3 linked regions of the Cricetulus griseus genome follow. The protein of the gene in region 3 purifies or fractionates together with the protein of the main gene of each other region. This does not show direct contact. Links are inferred from orthologs where the notes say so. Each region holds a gene or a part of one and is shown on either strand. Other genes may lie near its edges.

What was found.
Region 1: the proteins of Clcn5 (region 3) and Tmem9 purify together in Homo sapiens (co-immunoprecipitation; 3 studies listed by BioGRID and IntAct, with this or other methods). This does not show direct contact. The link is inferred for Cricetulus griseus from reciprocal best matches to the Homo sapiens genes CLCN5 and TMEM9.
Region 2: the proteins of Clcn5 (region 3) and Tmem9b purify together in Homo sapiens (co-immunoprecipitation; 3 studies listed by BioGRID and IntAct, counting the BioPlex papers as one, with this or other methods). This does not show direct contact. The link is inferred for Cricetulus griseus from reciprocal best matches to the Homo sapiens genes CLCN5 and TMEM9B.

What each region holds. Positions count from the first base shown.
Region 1 is NC_048598.1:53,257,767-53,262,058, reverse strand, and holds the start of Tmem9 (transmembrane protein 9), read left to right. Parts: upstream 1-1,367; 5' UTR 1,368-1,453; intron 1,454-1,479; exon of another isoform or gene 1,480-1,617; intron 1,618-1,872; 5' UTR 1,873-1,908; coding exon 1,909-1,983; intron 1,984-2,946; coding exon 2,947-3,038; intron 3,039-4,292. UniProt on the Homo sapiens protein: Transmembrane protein that binds to and facilitates the assembly of lysosomal proton-transporting V-type ATPase (v-ATPase), resulting in enhanced lysosomal acidification and trafficking.
Region 2 is NC_048596.1:90,968,695-90,972,925, reverse strand, and holds the start of Tmem9b (transmembrane protein 9B), read right to left. Parts: upstream 2,860-4,231; 5' UTR 2,770-2,859; coding exon 2,662-2,769; intron 726-2,661; coding exon 634-725; intron 1-633. Other genes in the region: Nrip3 (nuclear receptor-interacting protein 3), read right to left, coding at 2,866-3,136, 3,228-3,343, 3,412-3,469. UniProt on the Homo sapiens protein: Enhances production of pro-inflammatory cytokines induced by TNF, IL1B, and TLR ligands. Has a role in TNF activation of both the NF-kappaB and MAPK pathways.
Region 3 is NC_048604.1:113,634,831-113,638,475, forward strand, and holds part of Clcn5 (H(+)/Cl(-) exchange transporter 5), read right to left. Parts: coding exon 3,632-3,645; intron 2,927-3,631; coding exon 2,720-2,926; intron 1-2,719. UniProt on the Homo sapiens protein: Proton-coupled chloride transporter. Functions as antiport system and exchanges chloride ions against protons. Important for normal acidification of the endosome lumen. May play an important role in renal tubular function.

The sequences.
Region 1 (4,292 bases), on a different chromosome or scaffold from region 3:
GCTGAATGGCCAGTAACTAGGCAGGAAAAGGTTAGGCAGAACTTCTGGGGACAGAGAGGATTCTGGGAAGAAGAAAAGTGGAGTCTCCAGCCAGACATGGAGGAAACAGCATGGACGGTACAGAGAGATGAAGTAAAGAGCCACACCACAGAACACAGATGAAAATAAATGGGTTAATTTAAATTATAAGAGCTAGGGGGACAAGCCTAAGCTAAGACCAAGATTTCATAATTAATAGTAAGTCTCTGTATTGTTATGTTTTTGTGAGCTGGTGGCCCAAAGTCTGCTACAAGGTAACACAGTCACAGGTTCTGGCAGTAGCACAGGGACCTTTGATAGCCATGCTGGTATTCTTATCACACTCTGACAGCTCAGAGAGCTCCTTGCTACCTTACCATCAAAGCTTCACCGCCATCCTGGGCTCTCCTGGCTCGTGGTCTAACTTTCCCACTAGCTATTGCATTCTTTTTTTCCCAACAACAAAGCTCTTACTATCCTAAATTGTAACAGCTGGTTAAACATTGTTTTCTTTGTGGTGTTTAAGTTCTACAAGAGCAGAGTCAAGGTTTGCCTCCACCCTCCCCTAAACAGCCTGCGTGTCTAGCATAGGACCCGACACAATAATATGCCAGGGGAGGAAAACTCTTCTGTGGCACATGGTTCTCCTTGCTAAATTACATTCTGGTCATGCGACTATCCCTCCATCCAGGAACCCCAATCCCTTAAAGCCTAAGAGACTCTTAGCTAAAGAAACTGGTACCCAGAGAGGGAAGGCGTGGTCTCTGGGGTAACACAGGTGATTTCTTCCCTGAAGGACTGAGGCCAAAGCTCAATTGTCCTCACTGTAGTGGCCCTGGGCTCTGATGACTGCACTTTGCTGCACTGTCTCAATTTGCCAGGTCTTTAGAGCCAGTGTAGGCTAATGAGGCACAGCCCCCTGCAGACCACACCTACTAACCCTGTTTTATTCTCCCTAGGTTGTTGTCTTAGTGTGTGTGTGTGGGGGGGGGGGGGGGTAATAGTGACTGGGTCCTTTAGTTCCCTGTAAAACATGTGGCTCTTTAAATATTTTCAGACTGTAAATAAGCACAATCAACCTTGATCTTGTTTTTAAATTGTTATTGTTGTTACTAGCTTCATTTCCAAAAGGCTTTCCCTGAAACAGGAAGATAGTATAACGCGAGGAAGAACAAAGCACTCTGGGAGGAGTTGGCAGGACCCTCCGAGATAGATCTTCGGTTCTCTGTAGGAAAGGCAGACAGTCCCTTTTCTTGCTAGGTCCTGGTAGAGAAATGTCTTCCTCTCCCTAGAGTGGGAGCCTCCAGGACCAGGCGAAGGTGGGACTTGTTGTCTTGACGACTAGCGAGGTTGGGCTGAGCGGCGGCTCTAGCAGCCAATAGAAACTGGAGGGGTGGGGCTTGCTGGTCTGTGGAGGCTGCGGCGGAGCTTGCAGGTTGGTGGACCGCGCTTTGGGGGAGGGGTGCCGGGGGTCGCAGGGACACTGGGGGTTCCCGGCCGCCCCAAATCCTTAGGCAGGGTGTGCAGTGCCCTTGGCAGTCGGAATCGGGGCTTTTCGTTGGTCCCGAGCGGCGCTACGGGGGCAGTGGAGGCAGAGAGGTGGGAGGCGAGGGTAGGAGCGGGGCCTGCTGGTGACGGGATCTGGGGGCTCCGGGAGGCTGTAACCCCAGAAGACTCCCGCTGCTCGTGCACGGGAAGCTCCTGAGAGCTGGACTTGGGGAGCGAAAGGTTTAGAAGGCCCAGGAATCCTGGAACTCAGCCCCCTTGCGTCGTCTGGCAAAGCTGTAATGGGGCCGAGCTGTGTTGTGACCACCTTCCCTTCTTCCGACTCCATGTTTCTTTTTATCCCCCTAGGCGTCTAGTCTTGCTGGCTCAGCAAGCCTGATAAGCATGAAGCTGCTGTGTTTGGTGGCTGTGGTGGGGAGCTTGCTGGTGCCCCCAGCTCAAGCCAACAAGGTGAGGGAGGTGAGCCAGCAGCACCTTGTTGCTCTAGCACCGGGCCTGCGGGGCTTTAGCAGCACCACTCTTTGCCCCTCACCCACCCGAGGACCACACTTGGAGGACCTTACCTGGGGCAAGCTGCAGGCCTTCCCTAGGGGTGTAGGGAACACAGGGTTTGGAGCACCACACCGCACAGGTTTCAGACCAGACTGGCCCTCGGCGGAATTCCCCACAAGCAAGAAAGTTTGTTTAGAGCAGTTACCCAAGTTCTCCATGTCTTCCTTTGCCCTAAGTAAAAACAGCTGTGTTCGAATCTGCTGCTCTATTTGGGGATAATCAAATCACATAACGTTGTAAAGTGCTCTCTGAGTGTAAAGGCATGCACAGATGGTGGTTTCTGCTTCCAGCTGACACAGCTTCGTGGTACACTCCTGAGATTGCTCCCATTCCTTAGGGCTGGAGGACCAGCAGCTGGGTTTGGATGCTCTCTCTTTGTAACAGAGGTCCTATGGCTTTAGATTCTGAGGGTCACCAAGATATTGAGTAGCAGGGCTTGCTTCTTTGCCCTGAAGGAATTCCTGGAGGGAGCCTGCCCATGGAAACACCCACTTTTCTTTATTCAACCCTTCCTCCATCCTAACCTAGGGAGTTAAGACAGATTTGGGGGGAATTCTGGCCCACCTACCCCACCAGACAGAAAATACACAAGTGTGGGCCTCAGGGTTGAGGCCTGTCACTTTGCTTGCTGTATGTCCTGCCTCAGGCAACTTCTGTTTCTTTTGATACCAGAGAGGTTCCTATCTTGAGGCCCCTGTGATGTGGCAGCCTTCCTATAGAGATAGTCCTCCTTGAATTGGGGATGGGAAAATTCAAAAGCATACATATGTACCTCACAGAACAGGACACAAAACTGAAGTGTGCTAGCCTGCCCAGAATCTGAACCCAGGCAGGGTCTTTCCTGCTATTTACTCTTTGTCTTTCTTCCAGAGCTCTGAGGATATCCGGTGCAAATGCATTTGTCCACCTTACAGAAACATCAGTGGGCACATTTACAACCAGAATGTGTCTCAGAAGGACTGGTAAGGCAGTGTAAATGGCTGGCCCTTGGCACAATCACCTGGCTGAAATGATCAGGGCTTTCCTAGACTTCCTATTCTAGAGATAAATTACCCATTTCTGTGGAGTGCCTGCAAAAGAATATTTTGTCCTTAACCATTTGATAACAAAACCCAGGGATCTTGAATTACAGCTTGGGGGGGGCAGTGTTGGATTTTGTTTTCGATTTCAGTTGATGTGAAGAGTGGTGGTAGATAAGTGGGAGGGGCAGGTGTACATAGTATATACCTCGGTACTTTTGCAAACCTGTGTGCTTTGCTGGTTTCATAGCAACCTTCTAATGTAAATAGAGTAGATGCTGTTCCCATTTTATAATTGCATAGACTCAGGTCCAAACAAAGATCTTACGTTGTGCTCCTTGTGTCTCTGGTCTTGAATTCATTTCTTAGCCCCTTACTTAAAAAAGCACAAATAACCAAGAATGCATTCAGGTAAAGAATGTGAAGGTGAAAGGAAGAATAAATACTGTGTTCTAGAAGGAATAGTTTAAGGAGCTAGAATCTCCCTGAAAAGGGAGAGACCTGGGGACATTCCGTGAATGTTCAAGATTGGGAGAACAGCTGCTGAGGGGAAGGGGCATTTGGGATTGGAACCACGAAGGCTTGGGATGATCACATAGTGTAGACGGAAGGCCAGTGGATGGGATGACAGCTTCAGGGAGTCAGCCTCAGTGTGAGTGAGGGAAACATTGCCAGTGCTGGAAGGATGGGAAGCTTCATCCTTGAAGACATCACGGGGTAAGGTCAAGGTGTATGCAGTGAATGGGGGTGGGGGCCAAGGTTGCTACTACCTGTGCATCAGGGAATCACTAGGTGCGCTTTAAGAAAATTTGCAGTTCCGACAGTCTCCTGCCAAGATTTTGATTCAGCAAATATGGTAGCATCTGTCAGAAGAGTAACCTTTGCTTGGAGTCCTTGAGGTGCTCATGATGCCATTGATCCAGAGCACATTTGAGAGTTTTCAGATTCGTAGCAGTTGAATTTTCTGAAAGCCAGTGTTTGTGCATGTTTAGACTCTGGATCCAACTTTTCTGGACCCAAGTCTAGCTTTTTCATTTGTTCATCGTGATTTAGATTACTTAATCCCCACTGTACTTTGGTTTACTTTCTTAATTTTTATGTATATATTTATGTATTGGTGGATGTGTTTGCCCACTTGTCAGGTCACTATGTGTATACAGTGCCTGTGGAGGCCAAAAGAAGGCATCAGATCCCTTG
Region 2 (4,231 bases), on a different chromosome or scaffold from region 3:
AAAACCCTGCCTCAAAACAAACAAACAAACAAACAAAAAGCAAATCCCAGACCAAAACAACCCCCTACTCCCAGCAAAAAAAAAAAAATTGTATGAGTTGTAAAAACTATAAACCAGCAGCTGGAGAGAGGGCTTGGTAGTTAAGAGTGCTGGCTACTGTCGTAGAGGACTGGAGTTCATTTGCCAGCACCCAAGTTTGTCATCTTACAAACACCTGTAACACCAGCTCCAGGGAATTCAATACCCTCTTCTGGTCTCCACAGACACTCACACATGTGTGCCTGAACACATACAAAATTTTTAAAGTGCTTAAAAAGTCTCAACTTACCTTTCACTGAGAAGTAAGAGTAAGAGTAAGTTTAAGAGGGCACAAGACAGTAGCTATTGGTAGTTTAGGCACAATAAACTCAGTCCCATCTCCATATGAAACCTCCTAGCCTAGAGCTTCCTGTCTGGGCTACAGTATTCCTGTAGTTTTGTATCATGCACTCAGGACCCTAGTCTCATTTTAAAGAAATAGAACTTGACATTTTTGCGTAAAAACTAAATGAAACAATGTATGAATATTCTGAGTTAACAGTAAAAACCACAGATAGAAACGTGACAGGTGATTTCTTGACCCATAATACTTACCAATCTTTCTGGGATATGTTCTTATTATAAATATGCCCGGGGTTCTCTTTATAGGGAGGGCAGATACACTTACACCTCACGTCTTCAAAATTCTGTAACGAAAATGAAAGCATAACTTGTTTATAGTGTATCATCAATATTTAAAAAAAAACATCTGCACAATACACTTCGACAAGTATCCTGTCAGGTATTCTAAAACCATCATAAAGATCCTTAAAGCCCACAAGACCTGGTGTGTGTTTTATTCAACACATTTATGAATCCCATGACAACCAAATTGTGTTGTCATCTACCTGCCACTAGAAAGACACGAAGAGAAATGCTGATACAAAAGGACTGGGGAGAATTAAAATAAAAATTATTTACAAGCACACCATAATTCCAGGCTGAGGGTGGATGTGGCTCAGTGCTAAGGCATATACAGCACACACAAGGCCAATTCAATCTGCATGCAACAAAAGTGGGGGGAAGCCAGAATTCTACTAACTTCATTGTTTCTAACTTTTTTCCTTTTGGGAGAAAGGCATTGAGCATGGATAAAAGGGGCTTCGCTAGCTATAGACAGGATGAAGATTCAGGGGCACTCAGTCAGTGCTAGGAGGGTAGTCCAAAGGGAAAGTAGCTTTAATCTTGCCAAACCTTGCTAATGCCCCTTCCCCCCAGTTAACAGGAGGACAACTCCTAGCAAAACAAGTTTCATCAAGCAGAGAAAGCAGACATTAAATGCTGGACAGGGCCAAGACATGCTTTCTCAGCAAAGGGGTGTTTATTTGAGAAGGCAGTGGCTCATTATTCCCCAGAGAGACTTGTCCACTGTCCCTACGTACAATGAAATGTCTGGCAGAGCTGTTGGCAATTCCTAAATGTATTTGGCCACCACAGTGCCAGACCCTGTGTTCAATGAGGACGACTCAGAAAAACAAGAGGCGTGGCTCCTGTTTACTGGAACAAATCCTATCAAGGGGAGATAGACAAATGCATGTATTATGTATATCATGATACACTACATAAAATGGTCATGTATGACATCCAGGCAGAGGGTTCCAACAATATTACAAAAGTTGGGAGACTTTCTGCTGTGCCTATTTCTGGTGATATCAGAAAGATTGAAAAAAAAACTCACCAAAAACATCTGCCTTCCTGTAACCTGTCTTTCCCAGCCCTTTATAATATTTAAAGATATTATAAAACTCCTCTTTTAAAAATGCAGTGTCATTTACATCACCACACCTATTTTTGTCCCAAAATGAGTTAGCTCACTGGGAAGAAAGCACATGTTTCTTGGGCCATGGCAGCTCTGGGACACCAGATAACAACATGAGGGGACCAGAATGGTTAAGAAACACAAAAAGGGAAAGGACACAATCTCTCCTCTTTCCTAGGCTGGTTCTTCCCTTATCAGAAGAGGGAGGGAGGGTGGTAGGTCGGTGTGTGTGTGTGTGTGTGTGTGTGTGTGTGTGTGTGTGTGTGTGTGTGTGTGTGTGTGTGTGTGTGTGTGTGTGTGTGTGTTCGTTTCTGGAGGTGAGAGTATCAGGCTGGTGAGATAACTCTGTAGGTCCTCCTGGGAAGGGGTGGTTGCCACGAGAGGCGAGCCCCCACCATGGCAATGGAATCTGCTCATGGATTAGTCGAGAGGAGCTAGTCCCTAGTAGGGAAGACTTCATGAAGGTGAGGATTTCCCATGATTTGAGTTGGGGCCTGCGGGCTGGTGAAGGGCCGGAGTGGGCCACCGGAGTTTAAGGGTGGAAAGTTCAAAGCTCCCAGGGCTGGAAAGCTCCTCAAGTTCCGGGTGTGTGCTGTCGGGGATAGGAAGGGAAATGTCAGGAGGTGGAGGAGGAGTTGCAGACCCGGCTCCGGGGACTGTCAGGGGTTGAGCTCTGGGCAGGGCTGGTCGGGGCTGTGAAGCAGCGGCTCTGGCTGTCGGATTAGGAGAACCCGGGAGTGGGGAGCAAGTGGGCAGCCCCGGTATCAGCCAGGCCAGAGGCAGGGGCGGAGCTCCTGTCAGGAGCCTGGCGGGGCGGGACTCACCTTGGCGGCGCCTGTCAGCTGCGGTAACAGCAGCACGGACAGCGCCAGGCAGGACAGGCTGAGCCCCGAGCCCAGCCGCAGCAGGCCTCCGTGCCACAGACTTGCCATCGCGGGAGCCAGCCGCCCCAGCGAGCCCCGAGCCCCGCTCCCGGCTCGGGATCCAGCTCGGGATCCTCCGCCCGCACTTCCGCCTGGGCCTGCGCGTCACCGTCCGCGCCGGGTCAGCTGCGAGAAAGCCTCCGCCCCGGAAACGGTTCCGGGTGCGTCGGGCCTGCCGCGGCCGCTGCCACCGCCACCGCCACCGTCACCGCCACCGCCACCGTCACCGGGCTGCACTACAGTCTGGGGTCTGTCCCGGTCGGGGCTGGCTAGCCCTGCTGCTCCGGGGAGTAGGTCACGCAGGCCGAGTCCTGCAGGCTGGGTGAGCCCCATCCCCGGGAACTGCCGAGGCCGAGAGGGTGCTGCGCGTGGAGCCCTGGCCGGGAGTAGTGGCCGAGCGTTCGGAGCTCCCAAGCCCACCCGGAGGCGGAGAGTCGGAGCTCTCGTTCCCGGGCTTTGAGACTAACCTGCGCTCCGTGCGCCTCTTGGATTCAGCTCCCTGCAGGACCTCCAACAGTCGCTGTGGGCTGCCTACGTGGGTGTGGCTTCCACTAAGGGCTGACCTCCTTGGTGCAGCTTGGGGCTGGGAAGAGGGCCACGACTGTGGAGCTGGGCTGGCTCAACTTGGGCTCCGCTACATATGGACCGCACCGGTAGCATCCCCGCGCCCCCAGAACTACTGGAGGTGGAGAATCCAGGCACTAAGCTCCTGTGAGGCAAGACATATTTAAACCAGCCGACCCCTCAGTTCTGGGAGCACTGACCCTACTCTTTGAGGTTTCTTCTGCTGGTACTTTAGGAGCATCCTAGAGAGGACACAGTGCCTCTAATTTTATACATATATGTGTGTATACATATATGTGTATATATAATATATATGTACTTATAAACTACACACACACACATACATACATACATACATACATACATACATACATACATATATATTAGAGGGGGTAGTGGAAAGGATGCAGCATGCTCATCACAACCCTTAGGTATTTGCTGAATGTCATCAGGAAAATCACTTCCCTTCAATAAGAGGGAATTGAATTCTATGAATTTCAAAATCTATTCCCAAAGATAACCATTTTTTTAAAAGTGGTCCTTTCCTAGTTGGTGAAAATGTTTTATTTACTGGGTACAATTTTCTCAGTATTTTTCTACTGTATGTTTCTTGTTGATGCTAGACGAGAACCTAGCACAAACTACTATAACATTAAATATACTTAGCTCTTTTTAGTCCTAATGGCAACTGTCCTGGAGCGATATCAGCAGGACTGGATGCTTTTTCGCCAGTTCTTGTGAAGATGCTGTCACATCAGGGATAATTCAAGTCCTTCTAAGTGGTGTCCTGCTGATCGCAGGACTGTCAGTATGAAATTTGTTGGTGAGGCACTGTGGATCTGATTGCTAAAAGCTGACCTAAGTAGCCAATTTGGATCAGCTTGGAACTGTAAGTTTGACATCTAAA
Region 3 (3,645 bases):
ATCTCTGGTGCTAACCTTGAGAGCTTGGACAAGTCAGAGCTCAAAAGGCTGTCATTTGAGAAGGTCAGGGAATCTAAAATTCAACCCATAAACAGGGATATTTCACTGGGTATGTTTAGGATGAAACTGGAGGGGGAAACTTAAGTTTTACATTTGAGGATGGAATCTCTGCCCCCCCCTGTCCAACTCAGATCTGCTCATAAGGCCACTGGTTACAAACATGTGCTGCTATTGACAAGTACAAAACAATGTAACTTTCACAAGGCTCTGGGACTGAGGCCCAGCATGACAGAAAGAAACACTAGGATATCTAAGTTAAAGCAAAACGACTAAAAATCCAGATGGTCAGATAAATGTCGGGCAAGTTCAGACAAACATTTCAACTTCTAAAAGGAATCCAGTTTCAAACTCAACTCTATCGGTGCAAAGGCAGCAACCAACACTTATTCTTGCCCTTTAGAATGGTTTTCTTTTCAGTTAGCTGACTTGGTACATGTTATTGCTGATAAACAACTTCTCTAATTTAGCACAGCTTCTGTGTCCTTCTCCCACATGACACTCTACTAGCATGCCCCTCCGCCACTCCTGCTTGCTCTCCTCCCCTTTCTGACTGCTCCAGGAACTTTTCCCCGTTTAGTGGAAACTTTATCCCTCACTTAAAACCTCAGCATTTTCAGTTTCCAGAGCCTCCGCTTAATCTTTTTGCTGTCGTTATTTTCAGGAGAAACCACTGGATTCCAGTTTTACAAGAGGTTCTTTCTAATAAAATGATCTAGGCCTTGACCTATTCCGCCTGTGACTTTTAGGCCATTCAAGGAAAATAAAACAAGAACCACTGCTTCCTTAGGTTAATAATTATAGCAAGATAAAAGGAACCAATGACTTAGGACAATTTTTTAAAAACTATTCTTCCTTCTTGGTGGATGGGGGGGTAGAAGGGAGATGGGAGATGGAATGAGAAGAGAGGGGGAGGGAAAACTGATCAGTATATAAAATAAATGAAAAAAATAATCTAAAAAAATTTAAATTAAAAAGAAAAATATTCTTCCTCCTCAAAATAGTATACATTAACAACTGGATGTATTTGAGCTGGAGTATAAGCACAGTGTGCTAGTTTGAAAGAAATGGCCCCCAAAGGCAGTGGCACTATTAGGAGGTGTGGCTTTGTTGGAGTATGTGTGGCCTTGTTGGAGGAAGTGTGTGTGTGGGGGGAGCTTTGAAGCTCATTTGCTCAACCTTCATTCAGTGTGACACTTCACTTCCTCTTGCCTGCAAGATGTAGAACTCTCAGCTACCTCTCCAGCACCATATCTGCCTGCACACTGCCATGCTCTCTGTCATGATGATAATACACTGAACCTCTGAACTTTAAGCGCACCACCCCAATTAAATATTCTCCTTTATAAGAATTGCTGTGGTCATCGTGTCTCTTCACAGCCCTAGAAACCCTAAGGGGTTGGAGAGATGGCTCAGAGGTTAAGAGCACTGACTGCTCTTCCAAAGGACCTGGGTTCAATTCCCAGCAACCACAAGGTGGCTCACAATCATCTATAATGAGATCTGGTGCCCTCTTCTGGCCTGCAGACATATATGCTGGCAGAACACTGTATATGTAATAAAGAAATAAATCTTAAAAAAAAACAAATCAAACAACAACAACAAAAACCCTAACTAAAACATACAGTGATGCTACAGTAGAAAGAATTTAGATGGACTGAAGCAAGAGGCAGGCAGAGAGAGGTGTAATACAGGGAGAAACTAATTCAAGTGGCATTTAATAACAATAAAAGATGAAAACCTGCCATTTGAAATACTGTTTATATTTACTCATACACAACAAGTCCCTCAAAGTCTATTATTTTCTATAGTTTCTTTTTAAGAAGTGACACATAAAAATAAAATAAAAATTCAAGTCCTCACTTCTCCTTTCCTACTGCCTTATTATCCCACCTAACACAAAGTGCATGCTTTTCACAGTTTAGAATAAAATTATTCCCAGATATTTTGGGGTTTTATATATTCATCTTCATGTATGCAGGTATGCAAGTGTACAGATGCATGTATGTGCAAGAGAGGCCAGAGGTCAACCTCAAGTGTTGTTCCTCAGGCACTATCCACTTTGTTTGTTGAGACAGTGTCTTTCATTGGCCTGGTACTGGGCTAGCAGCCAAGGCTGGCTGGGCATTGAGACCCAGAGATCAGCCTGTCCCTCCCAAGCACTGGGATTATAAGTATGTACCACTTTAAAAGAATAGGTTCTTGGACGTTTGTAAGGTAAGTACTTTACTGACTGAGCCACCACACCAGCCCTAGACATTTTCTTCCTAAATGCAAAGACATACATTTACTGGTTATCCCATAAACAGTAGTCACAAACTAGCTGTAGTGTTCTGTTGTCAGCAGTCCATGTCAATTTATTTTGGGCTATCTCATTCTTTTAAATGGTTGCACAGTTGCCTATGATATGAGCAGAACAGTTTTTTTAAATCAAGGCCTTATTTGATGGACATTTTGCTTTTACAATGTTAAGTTTGTGTTGACTATCCTTAGATACCTGTGCATATACACATACTAGCGTGGCTATAAAACAGACTCCTAGAACTGAACCTGCTGAACCAAAAGCTAGTTGAATTCACAAGGATGAAATCCCCAAATTCTCACCACTAAGATCATCTCTGCTCATGAGTAAAAATAAACTATTAAGGTCAAATGTCATTACCTCTCTGCGCTTGGCTTCATTCTTCCTGTACTTGTTGAAGCAGTGACACAAGATGTTCCCACAGCAGCAAGCCACGTGCACTAGGGGGCCCTCTTTGCCCAGGCTCAAGCCAGATGACACTGCCAGCACCAAAGTGATAGTTTTGATGACAAGGGTCCACTTACCCAAATAACCCCTAATAATGAAACCACTCAGGATAGTTTTTATCTGCAGGCCAAACACAGAAAGATTAAATACAGACTAAGTAAATAAACAAAGCTGAAAAGCTAAAATCTGCACCCCTTTACAATAACTCCTCAACAAGTGACATATAATATATATATATATATATATATATATATATATATATATATTACATATACTTGTCCCATGAGGGATCTCAGAATAGGAAAGACCTAGGAAAGCCAGAAGTATTTTTGCAAACTTCCATGAACTTTTGGGGAGTAAAGGGCCATGTGACAGTTGGAAAGAGGATGAGAGTGTAAGAGTGAGAGTGTGTGGATGGAGAAACAGAAGCAGTTGAGGAGGAACAGGTATTTCCACCGGTTATAAAATATTCTGAGAATAAGGTCAGTGTTCACGAAACAGCCTGAAAGAGTAAGTACAGCCTGGAATATTTGCCAAAGAACATTGTGACTATTACTGAGGAGCAAGGCCATCTTGATAACCTAAAATTGACATTGCTTGAGTAAAACAATCTAAGCCCCAAATAGATAGGAAAGGAGTTCGGGCCATCATCTCCCCTCTTCTAGGCCAAATTCTGTGACCCAGGCTGAGAGGAGACTTAAAGGAAAATCTAGTTGGAGCTTAGATACCCTCTGGCTCTGATCCTGATTGATAGTCACCAAGCTGTAGTATATATGCAGGAATACACAGAAAAGTTTGACAAAAATTGGTTCATACTGTACTTACCTCAGGGATTCCAG